Schizosaccharomyces pombe: one gene and its partners. The gene in region 3 interacts genetically with the main gene of each other region. Each region holds a gene or a part of one and is shown on either strand. Other genes may lie near its edges.

Region 1 (7,134 bases), 2.5 Mb from region 3:
GGGTCTTTTCCCATAAGTGCATCTCTGTGCAAACTTGATTTTTCATATTGATAGCGAGAAGGTGCAAAAATTAGCTTTTCGTGGGTGGAATCAGTATTTTCAGACATCGTGGTAAACGGGATTGGAAAAGATACTTTTCCTCGTTTCAGGCAGTAACTGAATTTATATGAGATATCTGTTTTGATATATATATAACGCGATGAAACGACTCAGTATCACGCACTAAAGAAAATGCTAGCAAAAGACGTGTCATACGGTACAGCATGCTAGAGCTGGTTAATTTTAACACAAATCGATCAAATTCTATGTCTTTTTAAATTGCCATGAACGATACCAAGAGTTACTGTCATGATACCAAAGTTTCAAGCATTCTTAAGCTTATCCCTGAAATTGTAACTGATGTCAATTGGGCACTTATTAAAACAGTGCTTCTACAGTAGCGGGAATGTTTAAAAGTATTATGTAAACTGAAGTTTTTTAACAACTATATGCCATGGTAACAACATTGTTCTCAACTTAGATCATCTAGTAATGTGTGGAACCAAATTTTATTACTTAGCGGTAGTCATAACCATTTCAGCAATGTTTGTACAGGAATGGTCCAGTGGTTAAAAGTAAAATTGAATACGCGATAAGTAAATTCTAGACATTTTAATGCATAAAATTCTAAGTTCTATATTAATCTATAAAAATATTTTACATAGCATCAAAAAAGATGCTTAAAATTATTTCAAGGAACGAAATAAAGATACATGCCAATAATCAAATATAATATATAAGAATAGCCCAAATCTCATCCAATTAGCACACAAATTTCAGTCTAATTGATAGAACTATTAATTGAGTGTTGGGTACTAGCATTTCCTAAAGAAGCAAGAGAAGAGTGACTAGTATTCAAAGAACGACGTTTAGGTTTCTGACCCATATGGCTATTTACCAAGGAAGAAATACGATTAACAACCGGTAGCGGGTAACGCTTGCGTTTCAATTGTTCCACAATTTCCATTGCCTTTCGACCGTCATTTACACTTAGGTAGGCACGAACCATATTTTCATAGGTGCTAGGTTCCTTACCAGACATACCCTCGCATTCTAAAAGGTCGAAGTAATAACGTGCTTTGCTAATCATGCCAACCTTAGTAAATCCCTTTATAAGGGCATTTACAATGTATGCATTTAACGAGACATTGTAACGCTTCATATCAGAAACAATTTGAATGCCTTCAACAATGCGGTCATTTGCAATAAGAGATTCAATTTGGGATTGGAATAAGTTCGCATCTAGTTGAATTTCCCCGGCATCATGTTTGGCAAGAGCATTCATGTAGCAACTCGTGGCTGCCTGAACATCCGAAACAACGTTTCCTAAAATATGAATATATGCAGCATAATGCATAGATAAAATTGGCACATCTGTACGCTCCATAAGTTCAAGAACTGCCTTTACGGAACCTACATTGACAGGCTTCAATGTACCATAAGCATCCATCAATAACTTATAAGTATGAGAAGAAGGCTCTATGTCGGTAGCACATAGCCTATTGTAGTAAAATAGCGCTTTTTCACGATTAAACATTGTCTGGACCTCAAATTGTATCATAGTGTTGTATGGAGCAACGCGAGGTTGATAGTTAGGCTGATTTTCCATTTCAGCAAATAGCTTCTCAGCAAGACTCTCGTCACCAATGCGACAAGCAGCATTAATTACGGTACCATAAGTAACGCTGGTAGGAAGTAACCCCGATTCCTTCATTTCTTGAAACAATTTCCAGCACTCTGTTGTGCGGCGAGCTCGACCTAATTTAGAAAGCACTGCATTATATAGAAAAACAGAAGGTTTCACATTATGGCGTTTGGTCTCCTCAAAAATATTCAAAGCGGTAGTGGCATCATCAGTATCTCCTCTCCTTGTTGAGTTGTTAATCAAATGTGCGAAAGTTGAAGCACGAGGAATATATCCAAGCATTTTCATATTGTCACAAAAAAGATTTGAAGATTTGAACTGACGAGCAAAGGAAGACGATAAGATCATGGCGTCTAAAATCAACGCCATAAACCAGTTCGCTTTTTCAAGAGACTTCGTACTGATTTTCCTATAGAGGTGCTTGGAATGCTCAAAAACACGTTGCACAGCATCAAAACGTTTATTTTTGCTTAAAACAGATATTAACGTAGGATAAACTTCAGGATGCAAAAATTTATTGGTTTCAATAAGCTTACCGAACTGGAAAAACAATATATTAACGTCCACCTGCTCAGGTGATGCACTTGTTAACATTTTGGAAACAAGTGAATTTATACTTTGATCGATGCATTCCAGGTCGTCAAGGCAATAACAAACTTGCGATATATCCGCTAAAATTTTCTGTCCATTGTTATCAGTAGAGAATCCGACGACTGCTTCAGAGACGATGTCATCTCGAACGGATGCAACCAGCATTTCGTCTTCTTTCAGGTATGTGAAAGAACGTAAAACAACATGAACGTTTTTGAAAGATGCTTTATACGTTCCATTGGAGTAACATTTTAACAAATCAGTGAGGATAACCTTAGAAGTGAAAGTACCTTCGGTTTGCACGACATTGAATGCTGCATATTCCAGCAAAAAGCCAAATACTCTAGGAGAAATGAGCTCCGGTTCTAAGCGACGGCTAACTAAGTAACCCGTTATATGTCGTAACAACGGAGTAGTAAAATCAACTTGAGGGAAGTTTACTTGGTTCTCTAACGTTGAAACCAACGATAAAAGAACATGCACATCTTTTTGTAACTCCTCCGTCAACACTTCCCAAAATCCATTAAGGATTGATAATTGAAGAGCAACACTATTAGAAGATGGTGCAGTATTGTTACCAAGGGAAACTTTTGGATCAATGTGTTTACGAAGTAGACGAAGTGCAACATCAATCTTTCCGTTCTCAATGAAAGCTTTGTAAACGTTCGAAAACGTAAAGTTAGTGTGAGAAGACACAGAACAAATAACGGGATATGCATGTAAATGAAGTAGATCGACATTCCCTGATCTGGCAAGCAAGTCCAGATAACGGAGAAGCACTGCATGACAGTCGCTAAATCGAGATAATGTATATTTTCTCACAAAAGCAATAGCAAACTTGTCGTTGTTGTTCAAACAAGCCGCCTCCAATATGGACGATAATGTAGACGGACTCGCTTTGTAAGTGCTAATCTTTTCTATAGCCATACCAAGCCATTCAGCAGATTCCTTATAATGTCCTAATTGAGCCAATCTACGTAAAAAGCAGTCTAATATTGAAGACGGTATAACTTGATTGCTATCAGCCTTTCGGAAAAAAGATTTCATCAATGCACTTGCTTCAACATGGTGATCTGTGTCAAAATAAGCTTCCATTAAACCTTCCCAAGAACGCACATTAGTCATCGAAGTGTCACTAGTTGGATCAGATAAGTTATAACGCTCTAAAAGTTGAAAACAACTGTTGAGCCTTTTAGCTCTACCGAGAGCTCTAATTAGAGCTGGGAGTAAATCAGGATGGCCGTTAGCTTCAATAGTGCCAAGAGGAACGCACTCTAATAAGGAATCCAATTGGCTTTGCGTTCCATACAAAGAAACACTCTCAATTAAAATAGCATAAAATTGAGGAGAGTATATGAGATCGTGATTAATGAGGCTAGAAGTAAACATGAAAACAGCAGTTTGCAAAGGCATCTCGGATTGCAGATCGAGCAATTCAGGCTGTATTTCTTTTGCAATACTCGGATGTGCGTAAATAGTGCGCTTAGAGAGTGATTCAATTTTTTGATGCACGAATTTAGCGCGACGACAAAGAGCGAAAATGACGGTTTCAAATGTAGTTACGTTTGGAGAGATAAACGAATTAAGCATATCGACATAAACCTTGATAATTTTTTGAATGTTTTTTGATGACGACAAAAAATAGTCGTCCGTACTCATGCATTGCAAAACAATATTGTACGCTTCCAAAGTCAATAGTTCAGGAGAGTTTCGAACAAGCTTATACAGATCAAAAGTATGAATGGATAATTTACTACTAGCAAGTCTTTTCAAAAATTGAATAAACTCATTGGCAGAAGTGAAAGAATTCAGAGAAATTGAAGCAAAAGAAGATTCCAAAGAATTAGGAGTTAAAGTATCCAGTAAAGGGTCCGAAACTTCGGACTGGGTTTCAGTTGAGAGGGGAGATGTTGCGAGAGAGTTAAATTGTTGTTCATCATCTACATCACCGCATGTCGAGTCACATAGTGACGAGAGAGAAGCAGGTAAAAGAGAAGCAGAAAAATGTGAGCTGTTAGGGTTGAGATTGTCAACAAAGCGATGAAGGGACTTGCCTGGAGGAGATTGCTTACGCTCAGAAAGAGAAGGATCGAAGTAACCAAGCTGAATACTACGGTCATGGAAGATAATGTCATCCTCAGTTAAGAAAAGACGCTCATCCAATGAACCAGGTGCTTTCGTGTTAGAGAGAGAGAGGTTCGTTTGGGCTTGTTGTTGTTGAATCCAATTCGTCATATTTCCAAGCTTCAAAGGAGGACGATGAACGGCAACATTTTTGCCAAGTGTTTGTCTGGCAATATTTTGCAAAAACCAAGCTTTCGTGTAAACCATATTGAAACTAATATTAAGCGTAAATGGGATAATAGTCTAGAAAATAAACAAAAACGGATATAAACAATCTAAAAAAAAATTAGACCAAAAAGAGACACAATAAATAGAAAAAACGTAAAACAAATGAAATGAATAATAAAAAGAATAGTAAACACCCAAAGAACACAAGAAATGAATAAAAAAGAGAGAAAAACGGAAACGATATGTATAGCTAAACGGTATAGCCGACCACCAACCAGAATATCCACTAACTCAGGGAAAGAAGACTAGCAGGACAGACTATAAAATAGTACAGCAAAGGTTAAATGAAATGGTCACTGAGATTTGAAATATAGAATAAATCAAGTGAATGTGTTATGTACGCCTGGTAATGACGAGCCTATCACCGTTATCAGATGAACTGCGTTATAGACCAGAATAAGAGTGAAATATACACAAAGCAAACAAAGGAGTGCTAGTTGGAGGGTACGTAAAGATTCAAGGATTGAAAAATAAAAAGATAGAGCAATCCTAGCACTCGCAATTGAATTATCAAAGACAAATAAAAATTCCAATAAAGTCAAATGAAGAAAGCGATTCGAATACTTTGCTTATAAAGTAGAATTTTTACAATGTTTTCAAAGTACGATCGTCTTAATGGCAAGTGGAGAAGAGTATATATGACGATTTAAATCTGATCAAGCGTCAGCAGTGGCGAAATGAAACAAGACGCCGATATGAAAATTACAAGAGGAGGGTAATTTAGTTATATCAAATTGAAGCAGGGGAGTGGAATAAATGAATGAAGAAATAGATGGGAAAAAACAATAAACCTGACGAAATCTAATACACCGTGCCAAACAAAAGAGGATTGGGTAGAAAACCTAGGTACGTTAAACCGAATAACAAAAAAAAGGGAGAGAAAATGATAGAATAATTAAATGCTTAGTTCATCTAAAATGCGGAAAAAGAAAAGCGATTTGAGCTTCAAGAATTTGTTGAATGAATAACAGATATGTCTGTAGCTAATGAATCCTCAGAAAAGGGCAAGGAAGTAGATCTATAAGGGAAGTGTGTGCTTGATTAATTAAAACACCAAGCACAAGTTTCGTGTGTTTAAGCTTCCAACAGGGAAAGATGAGGATGGCGACGCAAAAAAAAAAGCGGAAATTTTTCACAATCAACAAAATTATTTCGTTTTGTTGAAAAACGAGCTGTTACAGGGCAATAAGTGTGAAAATAATCTATTTCAACAATTGTCTAGTACGTAGTAACAGAGTATTCAGTATGGCTTTCGACAAGTTCAAGTTTAAAATTGAACGAGTGATATTTGTAGTTGGTTGGTCGTAGCAATTTTGTGAGACAATGAAGTCAAAGTCACGTTACCCCGAATAAGAAGTCTTAAAGATAAGGAGCTGCTAAATATGTGGTAAAAGATATTCTGCACCCGTTGATAATTCGACGAATTTAGCGAATGTTAGTTTGTCAGGATGTCAGGTATGTATATATATGGAAACCAATATTTTAGCGTGGACCAAACGAGCCTCGTCGGTGAAAAAAGAAGATAAAAAAAATTGTGGATCGATTTTTTTGAGACAAGTTTATCGTCCCAACGCAAATTCGAAGGCGGACGATATTGAGATAGATTTGAGAAGCGGAACTAGCGCCAGTTTTGCCGCAGCTAGTAAAAGGGGACAGGTTAGGAACACATTTTATCGGGTAAGGAGATTTTCCAACAACTCCTAAGTTGGGACTAAGCAAAATTCAGGAAGGGTGGGAAATTACAAAAATAGCACGCAAGAGATGAGAAGTAAGAGTCTATTGTGCTAGCTGAAAAATCCCGTAGGCAGACAAACCTACGAATCGCATACAGGTGCAGAAATAAATAAATACATGGCGAATTTCATTATTAGAGAAATACGTGAATCCTAAACTTTAAACTATACTTCGCGCCTAAGAAAACATTTTTAGACAAAACAAAATTCATTGACCTTAAAACGGGTACTTTTAAAATAAGTGCACTAAAGAATAATCAAGCTCCTCTGCGCACAGTATCTCAACCTTATTAGAAAGAAAACTTGCGGAATTACTCATTAAATAACCAGATCATTTAGAATCACGAAGTATGGAGGGAAAACAAATGGCATTGGTATGATTTTAAATACACAAGCCTCCATTACTGTCTGAGCCTCACTCTCTGGAAGCCCTCCAATCGAAACGTTACTTTATGGAAAGAAAGGCATTATAAAATGTATCGATGGGGTATGCTGTGAGTTGTAAATGATCATTGCTGACATATATCATGTTGATCTGATAAAAAGTCATATGTTACAATGGTAGAAACTCGAACGAGTGCTCGGTATATTGAATATACAGCACTACTTTGATATTCTCGGTATAGATCGGCAATTTGCAATATAACAATTTATAAATGGTAGGTCACTGTAGTTCAATATTTCAAGAGTATCTAGGTTGCCATAAAGGTTAGCGTGGTATTGAGAAAAGGATGAATATTATCAAGAATTGACTCCGTAGATCAGTCTTTATCT
Region 2 (6,458 bases), on a different chromosome or scaffold from region 3:
TTAAATAAAATAAAACTTTTAAGAATTGATACTGAGTTTTGATCTTTAAATTTAGTGGAGATACTCATTAAACAGCCTTATACCTAAATGAAAACTGAAAGGTTTACTGCGTTTACCTAGCATGCTTAGCAATGAATTAAAGGATTGCTCAATTACCTAGCTTTCTGAATATTACGCTAGCTTTCTACTCCCTTGCCATTGTAAAATACTTTTCTGGTCATCCCGCTGCTTTTCAATGAAACTGCTATTCATTGACAGCCTCTCAACAAAAGATGGGTTTCTCAAATTAAATGTACAAAAATTATGCATATTTTATATTTATTTGAGCACAAAATCACATTATATGACCATGCCGTGGATATACAACAAATTTTACAACACCAGGTATTTCTTTACGGCTTAAGGAAGTTTTAGTTATGACTGTAAATTGTACAGCTGTGAATATATTACTTAACCATAGTATACCCTTTAAACCAATGCAATTACACTTTTGCAGTAGATATATATCCAGATTCTACCACGCTGGCTATAATATTCTCCTCTGTAGAATAATAATTTGACTGCAACACCTACCAACTTCTGACTACTGTTTGGGCTTTAATTTCATTGCCTACTACAATGCGTCGTTCTGGGAGTAAAGAATCAACAATTGTAAGTAATCGAGTTATGTTTTTAGCTGTTAACATCCTTTTTAGGTTTATTCAGCGTTATCCTTGGCTCAGGCAGGACGTGGTCCCGAGGCTCTAGCACTTTTAGAACCGTTAAAATCGACTCCCATCAACAGCTTGGAACTTTTAGACATTATACAAGCTGTTTATGATGATCAAAAGAAGGGTAAGTATAATTAGGTTCTATTGAACAGATGAACATAAATGTTGATAGCACTTTGGTCGTATTTTTTATTTTGAATATTCTACTATTTCCTTGAGATAAAGGCTTTAGTTATTTGATCGGTTAAACTTTGCTTAAGAAAAACGATCTTTGTTCTTTTCGTAGCTTGATGATTCAAGTGCAACGTTTTATTTCTCAATGGACTTGTTTTTACCCTCTTACTTTTAAGTTATTAACTATTTGAAGGAGAAGAATCGTTTGTATTTTGGGAAAAGTTCTTGCAAACTTATGGAAAGCAGGAAAAAAACTTATTAGCTTACTTCAAAGCATCTATTCGCATCAAATCATTGTCTCACCAAAGAAAGGTAAGATCTTAATTTGTTTTTTTTTTACTAACTCCTCAGGCTGCTGTAGAATTGCAAAAGAACTTTCCTTCTAGGAAACATACCTTATGGGTTATCTCATCTTTGTATCTTTTGTCCAAAAAGTCGGAAAATGAGGTTGAACAACGTTTGCTGAAAGCACTAGCTGAAAAAACTGCTAAACTCATTTTCGAAAAACCAACAGGTTATATCGATTCTTGTGAGGAGTTTCATCTTTATTTAGACGTGTTGCTTTTAGTGGGAGACAAGGACAGAGCGTTAGATGCTTTAATACATCAAGATGCTGATCGCTTTGTTGATGCTGACGCCGACCTTCTTTTGAGGAAGCTTGAATTGCTTGCTTCCTGTGCGCGTTGGGATTCTTTATTCACGTTTTCGCTTTCTCTTTTCCAAACTGGGAATACTGATTGGAAGGTTTGCAAAGCTTTGCTGGATAGTGCTTCCAATGATGATTCAAAGTAAGTTTTTTTTTTTGCATTATTACTAACTTCTCCATAGATTAGTCCCATTAAAGGATTGTATATTGAAAGCGTTGTCAACCAGCAGCACAAAAAGAAATCTTCATTTACTTTGGATTGAAGCCAGCGCACGGTTTTTTCCTGAAGAACACGAATCAGCATTACTTGGCTATATCAAAAAGCTGTATATGAAACCAATTGTTTTTGAAGATTTGAGACCTTATCTATTGAAGCTGAATGTTGATGCACAACACCGGTTATTAGATGCATTTAAGTTGGCTGATCTAGGTGAATCCAATGAAGTAAGTATTTATTCATCTTTCAATATTAACTCGTCGTAGTCTCAAAAAGTCGATAAATTATATGCTGAGGTTTTGCTTCTGAAGATCCATTTTTTGCTCTTTGAGTCGTTTACTGCAGAATCGGTTGTCGATTACGTGCGTAGATGCTTCGTCGCATTTGAAAAGGGTTTGTCTTTAAGTAAAGGCTTATTACCCACTGACTTTACGCACGGTTATGAAGCTTTGTTATTAGCAGTTCATTCATTGATATATATGTGGGAGGGGAATAAGGATTTAAAACCTGCCGAAAAACAAGCTTTAATTTTTGACGCAATCTGTCTTTTAGAAAAAGGCATTACTTATAGTCAACATAACTTTCATTTAAAGCTACCCCTTATTCGTTTATATCTTCTTCTTGATGGAGGCTTCCCTGCTGCTGCTAAAGTTTACGACACTATGTCCATTAAGCAAATTCAAAACGATACCCTTGATCATTATCTCTTGACTCGTGCTACTACCTATTATCCATCTTCTGTTACTTCTCACTATATTAACTCAAGTCTCAAAATATATGGTTCGAATGAGTTTGAAACACCAGAGATGATTTCTATGGCTTATGAAGATGGTGCTTACTCTCAAATCGAAGATATGCGTAATTTCCGATCCCGTTTAGACCACAGTACCTGGAAAAGCATTTCTTTGGTCGAGCGGGCTAGGATACATTATCTTACCGCTTTTAAACCACCCAAACAGTATCTTCCCAAATGTTCATCTCCGAAAGATAATCGAGATTTAAAGGTCTTTGCAGATTATGGATCTGATAAATTGCCAACAGTTGAAGAAAGTTTAAGAAATTCGCCTAAACCGGACACGCTTTGGATCCATTTGACTGTCATTGGTCATTCTCTCGTTCAAGACAGCATAGTAAACGGCGATTTTGAAAAGGCCGTTTTAAGTGCTAAGGAAATGGAAGTTTTGTGCGAAAACAATGATTTATCGAAGCAATTAACTTCGGAAGAAATTGTTCATATGAAATTATTGATCCAACTGGGATTACTTTCGGTAAAGGTCAAGAACGGAGACTACGAAAATTCCTCGTTCGAAACGATTGAAAATTTAATTGAGTCATTCGATTATGAGAACTCCACGCCTTTAAGTCAATTGACAAAGTACACTGAAGTAAGTTTACCAAACTGGTTTTTTTTTTTAAAAAAAATGATATAAAAATTTCTAAACTAACCGAATTATAGATCATAAATGACCTTATCACTTGTCTAAACAGCTTCCTATATCACGTGTCAGCTACCAAGAAAAAAGAATTTACCAGACAATACCAACTTCTTAAAAACATCAGCAGTAACAAATTAGGAAGTATCTCTGGAATTACGAAGCATAAAAAGAAGGCCGCCAGAAAATATGTATCAGAATTGTTGTCAAACTCTTGGCTGAGCAATTTATCTGAAACTCAGGTACGTGATGATTATAGAGCATTAAAATTATAGGCATGAGAACTAACTTCCTAATAATAGGTTCCTTACGATCCGAAGTTTGCAAAACAAGTTGGTGAAGGAATGATCGATTCATACATTCAAACGACGGACGCAGTAAGCAAGCTTCCAAAATTTGTAAAATTTTAGGTAGATAATATTTAGAAACTTATAAATATGAAAATTTTTTATAATCGTTTGTTGTTTAGAATCTTGCTTCTTTCGTATGCAGAATTCAGAGAAGATGTGCCTGAACCTCTCTTAAAATAGACGTAAAGCATTATAGCTGATACCACACTTAGAGAATACCAAGTGATAATATATTCTGTATGACTGTTGAAAATTTCAACTTTTAGAGGATGACCAAGAGGCAAGCCTCTCTTAACATGATCGGCTTCTTGCAACGGTGTAAGCGATGGTTGTAGTTCTGTTATCAAAATGGGGAGAGTTCCTTTCAATTGTGCAAACTCACGAACATTTAAGAAGTAAAAAGAATTTTTTTCAGGCTCATTCTTCATCATAAATCTTGGCTTATCAGTATGTTGTCTCAAAAGACCTTCAATGACCACTGGACCTTTAGGTAAAGAACTAGGATCTCGAGAAGACTGTTCAGCAAATGATCGAGCAATCCATCCTCTGTTGACTAAAATTCGACGCCCATCGTCTAAAATAAATGGGGTTACTACGTGATAGCCAGGTTGGCCTTCCTTCGTTCTTGGACCGACCAACATTTCTTGGTCGTGACAAAACACACCACGAAGCAAAACCCTAGTCCACTCAAGTTTTTTTGTATCTTGCTCTCTAAGTGATTATGTTAGCTTAATGTAAAAAACGACAGTTCAATTGCAAAACGTGCAATTTGTGTATATGTTAACTTAACGTACGTAACAGTTTTCGGTAATAAAATTGCGGGCTGTTGAAGCCTTTCCGTGAGTGTATTGATGATACCCATTTTCCATTCTCGTCGCTTTACCTGCCAAGTTCCTAAAGCAAACGTGACAATTGGAACGGCAGAAAGCAATCCAACTAAAAATTTATTTTTTTTAGGCCTCACAGTTGTTCCTTCAAGAGTACTCAAATAGCGAAAGACACACGGTCCACGCTTTGAGAATGTGAATTTAGTAGCACTTTTCCACCAAAACATGATAGACAGGAATCCAAGATTCAATCGAAACAAAAATAAAAAGAAAAGATTAAATCCTAAAAGGAATCAAACAATTGATATTTATATTCAATTCAAAAACTTTTAAAATGTTGCAAAACGGAGTTAACTTGAATGGCCTCTACTAGCAGCAAAATCCCACTCAGGTCTTCTGATACTACTGTAAAGCGTAAGTAGAATAGGGCAATTGACTAGAATCTTCTAAGCGAAAACGGAATATTGCTATAAAGAAATAAAATTTTCTTAGTCAAATCCTTCGACAAGTAAGATACTGTTCAATACGGGGCCAGTTTGTTGATGTTGACAGCTAAGAGAGACGCGAATGTCTAAGTAGGTACCTTTGCGTATTCACTCCAAGCTTCTACAAGTCACATGTCTTTTTTAAGTAAAGGAAGCGAAATCTGCGCTATAGTTAAATAATATAATAGCTTAACATTTGTTATCTTTCGATAAAGCAATATATGTTCTTACGACGTATGTTTTAAAGTAAACAATCGTCTTTATTAGTATGAAACTATGAATTGGTTTTTATGAAAAGCTAGTTGAGCAAAATTAGCGGTTTGGATTCGACATCTGAATAGAATTTTAGTTAAACTTGCTCCCACACTACTTATGCCCAAAGTTTTACCGAAGTTGACAGTTTAATCAACAATTCCTGAATTTGCTTATACTTGGTGTATCCTTTCTAAAAAAAAACTAGAAGATTTTTGTTACTGTACTTGAAAATACCTATTATAATCTGTGGCTACAACATCACAAGGTCAGAGTCTATACCCATTGTTCTTGGCTACAAAAGATCAAGTCCAGAAGGAGCTATCCATAACCAATATTACAAGGCATGCAAACATATTTTGAGAGTACATCATGACTTGTTAGGCAAGTAGTAAGAAAGACGGATATAAAAAAATAGCCTACAGCACCCCGGATTCCCATGTTGTCTCCAACCATAGTACTAACGAGGCCCTCAGACGCTTAACTGCAGTGATCGGACGGGAACTGGTGTTTTCGCCTAGGTATGGCCGTAGACATTAAACATTCTAGTTTATAAATTATAAAGGTTAGAAAAAAAGTTTACCGGTAGTTTATAAGTTGTTTGAAATTAATGGGTAAAGGTTTTTGTGCTTTTATTTTAGTTTATTGCAAACATAAATCAGAGCTTTAAAGTTTGTATTTAGTATAACCATACATTAAGAATTGCGAAACAACTGCAGACTCCAAATTTAGACTGGAAAACGTCTTACTCGGAAAAGAGATTTTGCTGCTATTTTATCATTATTAACACTCACTTTGCTATTAACGTTACAGTCATATTAATATCATACCCAAAAATTTGAAATCTTTTTTCCGCATGAAAAAGAATATAATATAATGTATATGCCTCCACTCGGAATCGAACCAAGGATCTTCGCATTACAAGTGCGATGCTGTACCACTAAGCCATAGAGGCAGTATCGTCGGAATGTATTTATTAAATTATATATACTAATGCTAGTTTTAATACTCGACAAGTTGGCTGGTCAAAAAGTAGTTTCTTAATCTGCTGTTACTGATCGCTTTCGACAATAACAATTAAATAATAGTGCAGTTTATTTATTTAAAAGTCTTTTGTTGACATAGGATTTTGTTCAAGATAAATGGTTGAATATAGTTTAGTAGAACTACAACCTGCAATCAGGCAAAAAGCATGAACAAACTAATATAGCTCTAAAGTAAAAAACTATTTGAATCATTTGCTATACAGATTATTAGGCACCGACCCTTCAGTTATTTGACTACAAATGTTAACATGTCAATAAGTTAGGCATTCTCTGGTTTTCTTGATGTAAATAAACTGACGACATGTACCGTATCTACGT
Region 3 (2,911 bases):
CAATAAGAAAATTTATTGATTGATACGTATATGACTACGGAAACATCGGCTAATCCTTCCATGAACCGAATGACTATATGTGTCTTATGCTGATTTCGGTGAAATAGACGAAATGAGTAAAAATAAAAATGAAATGCTATTTTTTTCAAAATAATATATAGGTTAACAGTAGCAGGATTAACAAAATGAAAAAGTAAGCAAAAGCGAATGAGGGATAATCACAATAATACACTTTAAGTAAACAGGCAATAGTAATTGCTAAATTTATACTGACGACATTAAGGAAGTTTTAAATATGAACAGGCCATTTTGGCAATATAGTGCTTATCTTTGAAACTTGGTTAAAGTAGAAATTAACATAGTTCGTAAATTAGCATCATTTGTAAGATAAACAGAGATAAAACAGGAGAGTACAAAAAGAGAGAGGAATAACAAATAAGGCGATCGACGATCGCTGCAAAAGTCAGGAAATATTTCAGGGAAAACCCCGCTAATGCAAAATATATAAGGAAATTACTGAGGCTCTTCGGACCGGCTTTGTTTAGTTTCTTTCATGCTAGCAGATCTTGCTTGTTGCTAGAGTAGATGTTAGAAAAGTGACTATGAGAATGAAATTTTGGTATGAGTGAATGAATTGTTGCGCCTTCATTGCTTGAGACAATTTAAATCTCTAAGCCAACAAGGAAGTAGAAGTACACGTATCACCATTCAAATAAAGAATTTTTCCTTACCTCTCTGTATTTGGTGAGAGAAATCTTTAAAACTTCGGCATAATTTTCGAACCCAAGGGTATTTAAAGCCAATAAAACATCTTCACCAGTAATTGTCTTTCTCTTTTCTTGAGTGCATTGTTCAGATGCTATTATATGGTCAGTAAATAACTATACATGAGGCTTTTGCTATTGATTCCATACCTTCACCAGTAACAAAGGAAATAAACTCACTAACGCAATCTTGGACGCAGTCTTTAGCTTCCTAAAAAGTCAGACATTAGCACTGCAACATGAAAATTACAAAACAAAAGAGAAGAACGCACTCACAGCGACCTACTCCGTCACTAGCAATCAATCAATCGAAGAGACTGACAATGCGATTTTTCTCAATTCAACAAATCATGCATACCTTGGAAATCTTGGCGTTTTCGGGAAGTGCCGATTTCATGATACGCGCGACATTTGCAATTGGTAGGAGATTGGTGTAATCCAACCCGTCTGCGCTCATGATAATTAAATGTATCTTTTACTTGTATAATTTAATTTTGGCGAGCAGAGAAACCTCAAATAACGAAAATAAGTACACAAACCCCGCTAAAATTGGTTTGACTACTAGCAAGCACGATCCTTGACAAAAATCGACAGCTGATAACCTATTCTCGAGCCTTTGTGGAGGGAACTAAAAAGAAATCCAATAATTCAGCAGGAGATGAAGATCCTAAAAGACGAACAAATCAAATAAAAAGAAATGACCTCCTTTTGAGCAATGAACGAGGGTAATGGCTTAACGTTAACTTTCTGCTTCTTCACAAAAGAAAGTAAACGTCTATCTACTTCCAATAGGGAAAGAAATCAGTAGTTGGTTATTGCGATAAAGAAACACTATGTTATTGCAAAAGAAACAGCAATTTGTTTCTACAGGTTGCAAGCAATTCGCAGACTGACTGTATCGGCCTATAATATTATTTAAATAGTGCAGTTGTAAAGTGGGAGATTAACAAGAGATACTGAATTCGAGTGGTACGATATATCGGTTTCCGACTGGGGCATCTAACTACTATTCCACCTACTCCAGCGGCGAGCAATACTGGATGGCTCTGAGCCTTCGACGGGGCTGCGCTATTTAGGTAAGTGGGGTGAAAGGCCGAAATGGGGGCCAAAAGACTTTCAAGTGGCGTATAAGGGAAACGAGCAAGACTTTTGGAAGCTTTAAGGTCCCAAGTGGGATGAAGGTGAAGGCGAGGCGTCTTCTCTTGAAGCCAAGGTTTCCCAGTAAAAAGAAAGTGGGATGCCATCTAATCCCTATGTCACTTTTACGCTGACAAAATAATCGTGATATACGTTAAACAAGAGGAAAGGAGAGACTAGCAAAAGAAGTGTTTTGTCATTCAAGCGACGATCCTTCATACAAAAAGCAAATAAATAAATCCTTTTATAAATATCATAAACATATCATTAGAAAACCAAGAAAAATAAATAATAATATGAATTAATTTAATTCAAAAAAAAAATATAAATATAAATATAAAAAAAGAGTAGAAGCGATTGTGGAAACTGACAGCGAAATAATTATGAGACATTTATTTTACAACTTACAGAGCAAATATTAAGTTCGTTTGAAATAGTTCACAATTGGTATTTACCGTTCACATCTGATAACTGAAGAGGAATTCAATGTTATTAAAATCGTGTTTGCGAAAAAGTTAATAAAAATAACCTAGCAAAGAAGATTCGTAGAAAAATGGAATAACAAGAAAGTAAATGTATCTTATGGCAAAACTGACAATCCAGTGTTTTTTTTTTCTACATTTCATTCATCTTCACTCTCCATTCGCACGCATACCTAAATATGTTCCCGTAGGGGAAAATTGCGTATACTGAATTGTTTTGTTCTACAACTCGCATCTACTCAACTATATTCCCTACTTGACTATACTTCTGCACTTCAAAAGTCATGTGTATCTATCCTAATCTTTATATTATACAGTGGAATGCACTATAAACCTAGTTGTATTTTTATTTCTCATTTCCTATACATCAATGATATATCAGATTAAAAGTTTGCTCCTCTTTCTATCCCATCTCACCCATCATCACTTGCAACATTGGCAAGGGTAATTGAAGGCGATGCGAGCTGTGTGTTGTCAAAAGAACGAATATGTTTTTTGCCTTTACCATCATTCCTACTCTTCCGTCCT
Region 4 (4,599 bases), 2.0 Mb from region 3:
ATGAGTAGAGTTTCTTTTTATGATTACAGTGAGTAGAGCAGGTTAAGAATCTAGTACTAGATTACTCGGCGTAAGTTAAATCTGCTGCAAAGAACTATGCAAAAAAAAGGTTACTTTAATAAATTTTTCGCAAGAGATTCGAGATAACTTTTTCTTTTAATATCTGCTAATTAAGTTTGTGATGTCTCTTAAATTGCTCATGCTTCTAATATCCTATAGTTCAATAAGCCTTTTCTTGTTCGTGTGTCCAAAGTTGCTAAGACCTCCTTTTGAAAAGAGGCAAACAAGCATGTAAAGAACACCCAGATATCAAACCACCCACAATGGCGCAATGGAGAAATAGTTGTTTTATCATTACAGCAGTCAATTATGCATTTGTTTTCATTTTATAGACGAGACTTTCGCTTATTATTTACCTTTATACTACAGATCATCAACAATGTCAGCAAATAAAGTTAAACGACTTTATCAAGAGTTCCAAAGCTTACAGAAAAGATTACTAATAAAATTTAAAAGACATTTAACGACTGTATTAAATTAAAACACGCAGCATATTCATTGAATACACGCTTTAAAAATTGTGACATCAAACACAATGAACTTCATGGTTGGTAAAATAAACGAATGAATAAATGAAAGATCGATGTAATAAGAAGCACATCTCCTATAAGCATAGTTCAGAAAGCTTAAACAATCTGATAGATGGCAGAGTATTCAAAAAAAAGCGACAAAAACCATGAAACAAAATATCATAAAAAAGAGTTTCAGAGCAAGAAGAAATAAGAGTATTTGACAGTTTAAAGAACGAAAAAAAAGCATAAGAATTACCATTATATCTCACAAGATAATTTCCCATTTTGTGTAAATTTAAGGAGTTCAAGAAATATAAATCTCTCCGACTTCACTTAATCCACCAGAGGAACTGATAAGGGCATTGTTATTACCAACACCGGCTCCGAGTTCGGTAGCAGGAGCAAACCAACTGTAACGCTCAACAGATCCATGTCCATCTAAAAAGCCAAGAGCGCTGGTCATCAAAGTCTTAACTTCATCCAATGAAGGTAAATTGCTATCATCCCAGTTGGTGCAAGCAAATTCAGTAAGCCAAATAGGGAGACCGTAATTGGCGAGAGAGTTAATATAATCTTGCAAATTGCTAAAGTCAATACCATACCAATGGCAAGCAATGAAATCGATCTTACAATCAGAGCATGCGCTCATGAATTCAGAAAGCCAATCTTCACCTACGTTACTGATGGCAGGTGATCCCAAATAACCAATGGCACCAGATTCACGAAGAGGTGTTAAGTATTGAAGATAATAACTAGCTGCAGTAGCTGCATCTATAGGATTTCCAGCAGCGGACAAATCAGGCTCATTAAATCCAATGACGGTAGCACCACCAGTGAAAACAGAAGAAGCTGAAGAAAGGCTATTGGCATCATGTTGGTTGAGAACATATTCAAAAGAGGAACTCAGACCAGATGAATAACTACCCCAGTTGTAATACCAGTTGATGCCCTTATTGACAAAGTTATCAGAGTAACCAAGGTCAGTTCCAGGAATCCAGGCCAAACCGCGCTTGCCAGAAACTGAAGAACTAGTAGGAGATGCTGATGCAGAGCTTGAGGTAGCACTGGAAATAGTACTAGAAGCAGCAACAGAAGTGGCACTAGAGACAACAGAGGAAACGACAGCTGAAGAGGAGGCGGCAGCTGAAGAAACAGCAGGAGTACTAACTCCCTTGTTAGCAGCAGAAACACTGGCACTTGCAACTACAGAAGAAAGAGCAATAGATGATGAGGAAGTGGGGACGTAAGATGTAGCAGAGCCAGCTGATATCTCTGATGAAGAAGCAACTGAAGACGAGACAGGAGCCACATAGGATGAAGTTGACGTAGCAACTTCAGAGCTAGCAGGATAAGAACTAGTAACTTCAGTACTAGAAGCAGAATAAGAGCTAGCAACTTCAGTACTAGAAGCAGGATAAGAAGAGCTAGATTCGGAACTGGTAGCAGGATACGAAGTGAAAAATTCAGAACTAGAAGTGGCAGATGTCTCGGGAGTTGATACAGGGACAGAAGTATTGGACCATACGGGTGCAGTAACGTTGTCCATAGTATATAGAGGAGTACTAACAAAAGTGGCAGGGTAGCTAGTGGCAGAGGAACTAGCAGCAGGGGCACTGGTTGTTACAACCACAGATTCCGTAGAGGTAGTAGGTAAAGCCGTTGAAGCACCATCGTCGGACGACTCGGTAACAGAAGCTAAACCAGTGGAGTAAGAAGTATATGAGGAAGATGAGTTAGCACCAGGAACTGCGGTAACATAAACAGTCTCCAAGATAGTCTCATACACGGTTAAAACGCCATCATCATCACGACGGTGATGGCGATGGTTAGGAGCATAGGGCAAAGCTCCAACGGTCGATAAAAAAGCTAAAGCGACGGTCGCGAAAGTAGTACGCATTTTTTTAGAAAATACTAGATAAAACGCGTCTAATACTAAAAAAAGAAAGAAAAGATGAAATTTGGTATATAGTTGATATATAAAAGAGTGGAAAGGAGTGTTGCTAAAGAACGGACAACGACTCTTATAGACTAGCTTCTACTGTGGTGGTTGGTGAACGACAAGCCGCGTTCATTATCAAGCCACTCATATATATACCAGTTATGAAAATTTGATTATACATAAAAACTTTAAATATAATATTTATTAAATTTGCTGAGTAAATTCAATTTTTTAAAATCAAAGTCAGACTCATATTGAGGGAAAAATGAATCTGAGTCGGTTACCACTGAAACACCAGGTCCACCTAATTGAACATCGTAAATAGAATTTTTATGGGCTAATAGTGATTCTTTACATAACTTAAATTCCTCTTCTTTGCACTCAGGTGTTAATAAAGTAATCGTACAACCTCCACCACCGGCACCTGTAAGCTTCGTCCATCCAATTGACTTAGTGGCTTGTAAAACGCGATCAATGGAATAATGGGATACACCCAAGCATTCTAAGAGTTTTTGATTAAGAACAATAAACTCTCCTAACTTTTTAGCGGAGGAGTTTTTATCGCTCTCCGAAGTCAATGCGAGGACGGCAGACTTTGATATGCCATCGATTGCATCTATTATTGAGTCAATCACAGTTGGTAGTCTTTCCTTCAGTTCAAAAACTCCTTGTACAAGTTTTTTAGTACTTTTTGGTTGTTTGGTATCAGTGATCATAACAGATAAGGTATCTTTAGGCTTTAAGAATTCTTTCATGGCACTCTGATGAGCTGTAGCTTTACGAAAAGCGATAAGTCCTCCATTTGTTGCTACTGCATTATCAATACCACTTGGTGTTCCATGAATACAGCATTCACCTAGAAAAGACCAAGCCTCTATCAACGCAAGTGCTTTGTTGTTTTGAAGAGAATTTGAGCTAGGAGGTTCAATATTACCAAAAGCTAGTAGTAAACTTGTAGCGACAACAACTGATATAGTAGCACTACTACCTAATCCAGCACCCAAAGGTACTTGGGAGCTAATAGTTAAAGTACAACCCTGAGAAGGAGAAGACAAAGACGTGAACAAGTAAAGGGTACAAAGCATTGCTGAGTGAATAAGTCCGTTTTCTTCATTTTTTAATAGCTCTCCTAATCCTTGTAAAAGGTCCAGATTGGGAGATGATGCCGGGTGCTGAACGTTTTCCACTGTTACATGCTGCCAAGGTAGCGATTGAAGATTCCATCGGCGTTCGGTCCCTATATCACTCATCACAATTACTATTTCATTGTTATTAGTCGTCTGTAATTTACAGTAACTCCGTAACGATACAGCTGCAGCTAACGCAGTCTAGAAAGTTAGCATAAAAATTTAAATGATCTCCATATTTTCGCTTTAAAATGGCTTAAGATTAGAATCAAAAATAAGCATGGCTATAGCAGAATGACATTTGCGACGACTGTCAAAGTTAAAAGTGGTGTTCGCTTTGCAAATACTATGTTACAAAGAAATCATATATGCATAACAGAGCTGTATCCAGTACTAGCCTGTTAAAAACTCTCGCTAATGTAATCTGCTTTAAACCTTAGGTAAACTTACAGCTCCATATACAACGGCATGTTCCCCAAACAAAATCGTTTTTCCTGGCGACGAAACAATAAGCGATTTTGACATTTCAGAAATTTTTTTTACGTTCAACTTCAAAACACAGTTAAAATAAGGTGATGGTAAATAGGCGACGAAGGTTGGTTATCGACAGATATCTACGCAAACAGGACAAGGTGATGATGGTATTGGAAGTTGTAGCAAAAGATTGGTATTTTAATTAAAAAGTTACTTTATTTGATTTTGTTTTAAAAGTTCTTTTGTAATAAAAATCGCGATGTTATAGTTTTCATATGCGCTAAGGAAAATGACTTTTTAAACGAGGTATACAGCGCAAAACTCGTTAGACATTTACATAAAACCATAAAATACTACATTTATAGCTTATAGCAAGAAAGCAAGAGCAAGTACATATATGATGAGTATTGATAACATAATATTTAAATAGACAGCTAAGCAAATTGAGAAGTAGTGTTCAGGTATAAAAAAATGCTGTTTAGTAAGT

Evidence for each region.
Region 1: mutations in php3 (region 3) and ppr5 together harm fitness more than expected from each alone (negative genetic interaction), as found in Schizosaccharomyces pombe (one large-scale study listed by BioGRID).
Region 2: mutations in php3 (region 3) and shy1 together harm fitness more than expected from each alone (negative genetic interaction), as found in Schizosaccharomyces pombe (one large-scale study listed by BioGRID).
Region 4: mutations in php3 (region 3) and asl1 together harm fitness more than expected from each alone (negative genetic interaction), as found in Schizosaccharomyces pombe (one large-scale study listed by BioGRID).

The regions. Positions count from the first base shown.
Region 1 is NC_003424.3:4,605,104-4,612,237, reverse strand, and holds ppr5 (PPR repeat-containing protein Ppr5), read right to left. Parts: upstream 5,421-7,134; 5' UTR 4,607-5,420; coding exon 821-4,606; 3' UTR 501-820; downstream 1-500. Other genes in the region: pdx3 (pyridoxamine 5'-phosphate oxidase), read right to left, coding at 1-107; SPOM_SPAC1093.07 (uncharacterized protein), read left to right, coding at 6,095-6,331. UniProt on the Schizosaccharomyces pombe protein: Mitochondrial RNA-binding protein that acts as a general negative regulator of mitochondrial translation.
Region 2 is NC_003423.3:1,503,544-1,510,001, reverse strand, and holds shy1 (cytochrome c oxidase assembly protein Shy1), read right to left. Parts: upstream 4,905-6,458; 5' UTR 4,585-4,904; coding exon 4,325-4,584; intron 4,242-4,324; coding exon 3,629-4,241; 3' UTR 3,591-3,628; coding exon of another isoform or gene 3,483-3,590; 3' UTR 3,423-3,482; coding exon of another isoform or gene 3,204-3,422; 3' UTR 3,133-3,203; coding exon of another isoform or gene 2,014-3,132; 3' UTR 1,975-2,013; coding exon of another isoform or gene 1,713-1,974; 3' UTR 1,673-1,712; coding exon of another isoform or gene 1,236-1,672; 3' UTR 1,197-1,235; coding exon of another isoform or gene 1,078-1,196; 3' UTR 835-1,077; coding exon of another isoform or gene 696-834; 3' UTR 652-695; coding exon of another isoform or gene 619-651; 3' UTR 551-618; downstream 1-550. Other genes in the region: NatB N-acetyltransferase complex regulatory subunit Naa25, read left to right, coding at 619-651, 696-834, 1,078-1,196, 1,236-1,672, 1,713-1,974, 2,014-3,132, 3,204-3,422, 3,483-3,590.
Region 3 is NC_003424.3:2,143,991-2,146,901, reverse strand, and holds php3 (CCAAT-binding factor complex subunit Php3), read right to left. Parts: upstream 1,222-2,911; coding exon 1,123-1,221; intron 976-1,122; coding exon 915-975; intron 860-914; coding exon 732-859; intron 577-731; coding exon 514-576; downstream 1-513. Other genes in the region: SPOM_SPAC23C11.07 (uncharacterized protein), read right to left, coding at 1,676-2,008. UniProt on the Schizosaccharomyces pombe protein: Belongs to a complex that binds to the sequence CCAAT located upstream of genes involved in mitochondrial electron transport.
Region 4 is NC_003424.3:191,420-196,018, forward strand, and holds asl1 (O-glucosyl hydrolase Asl1), read right to left. Parts: upstream 2,632-4,599; 5' UTR 2,470-2,631; coding exon 877-2,469; 3' UTR 509-876; downstream 1-508. Other genes in the region: mevalonate kinase Erg12, read right to left, coding at 2,700-3,839, 4,089-4,163.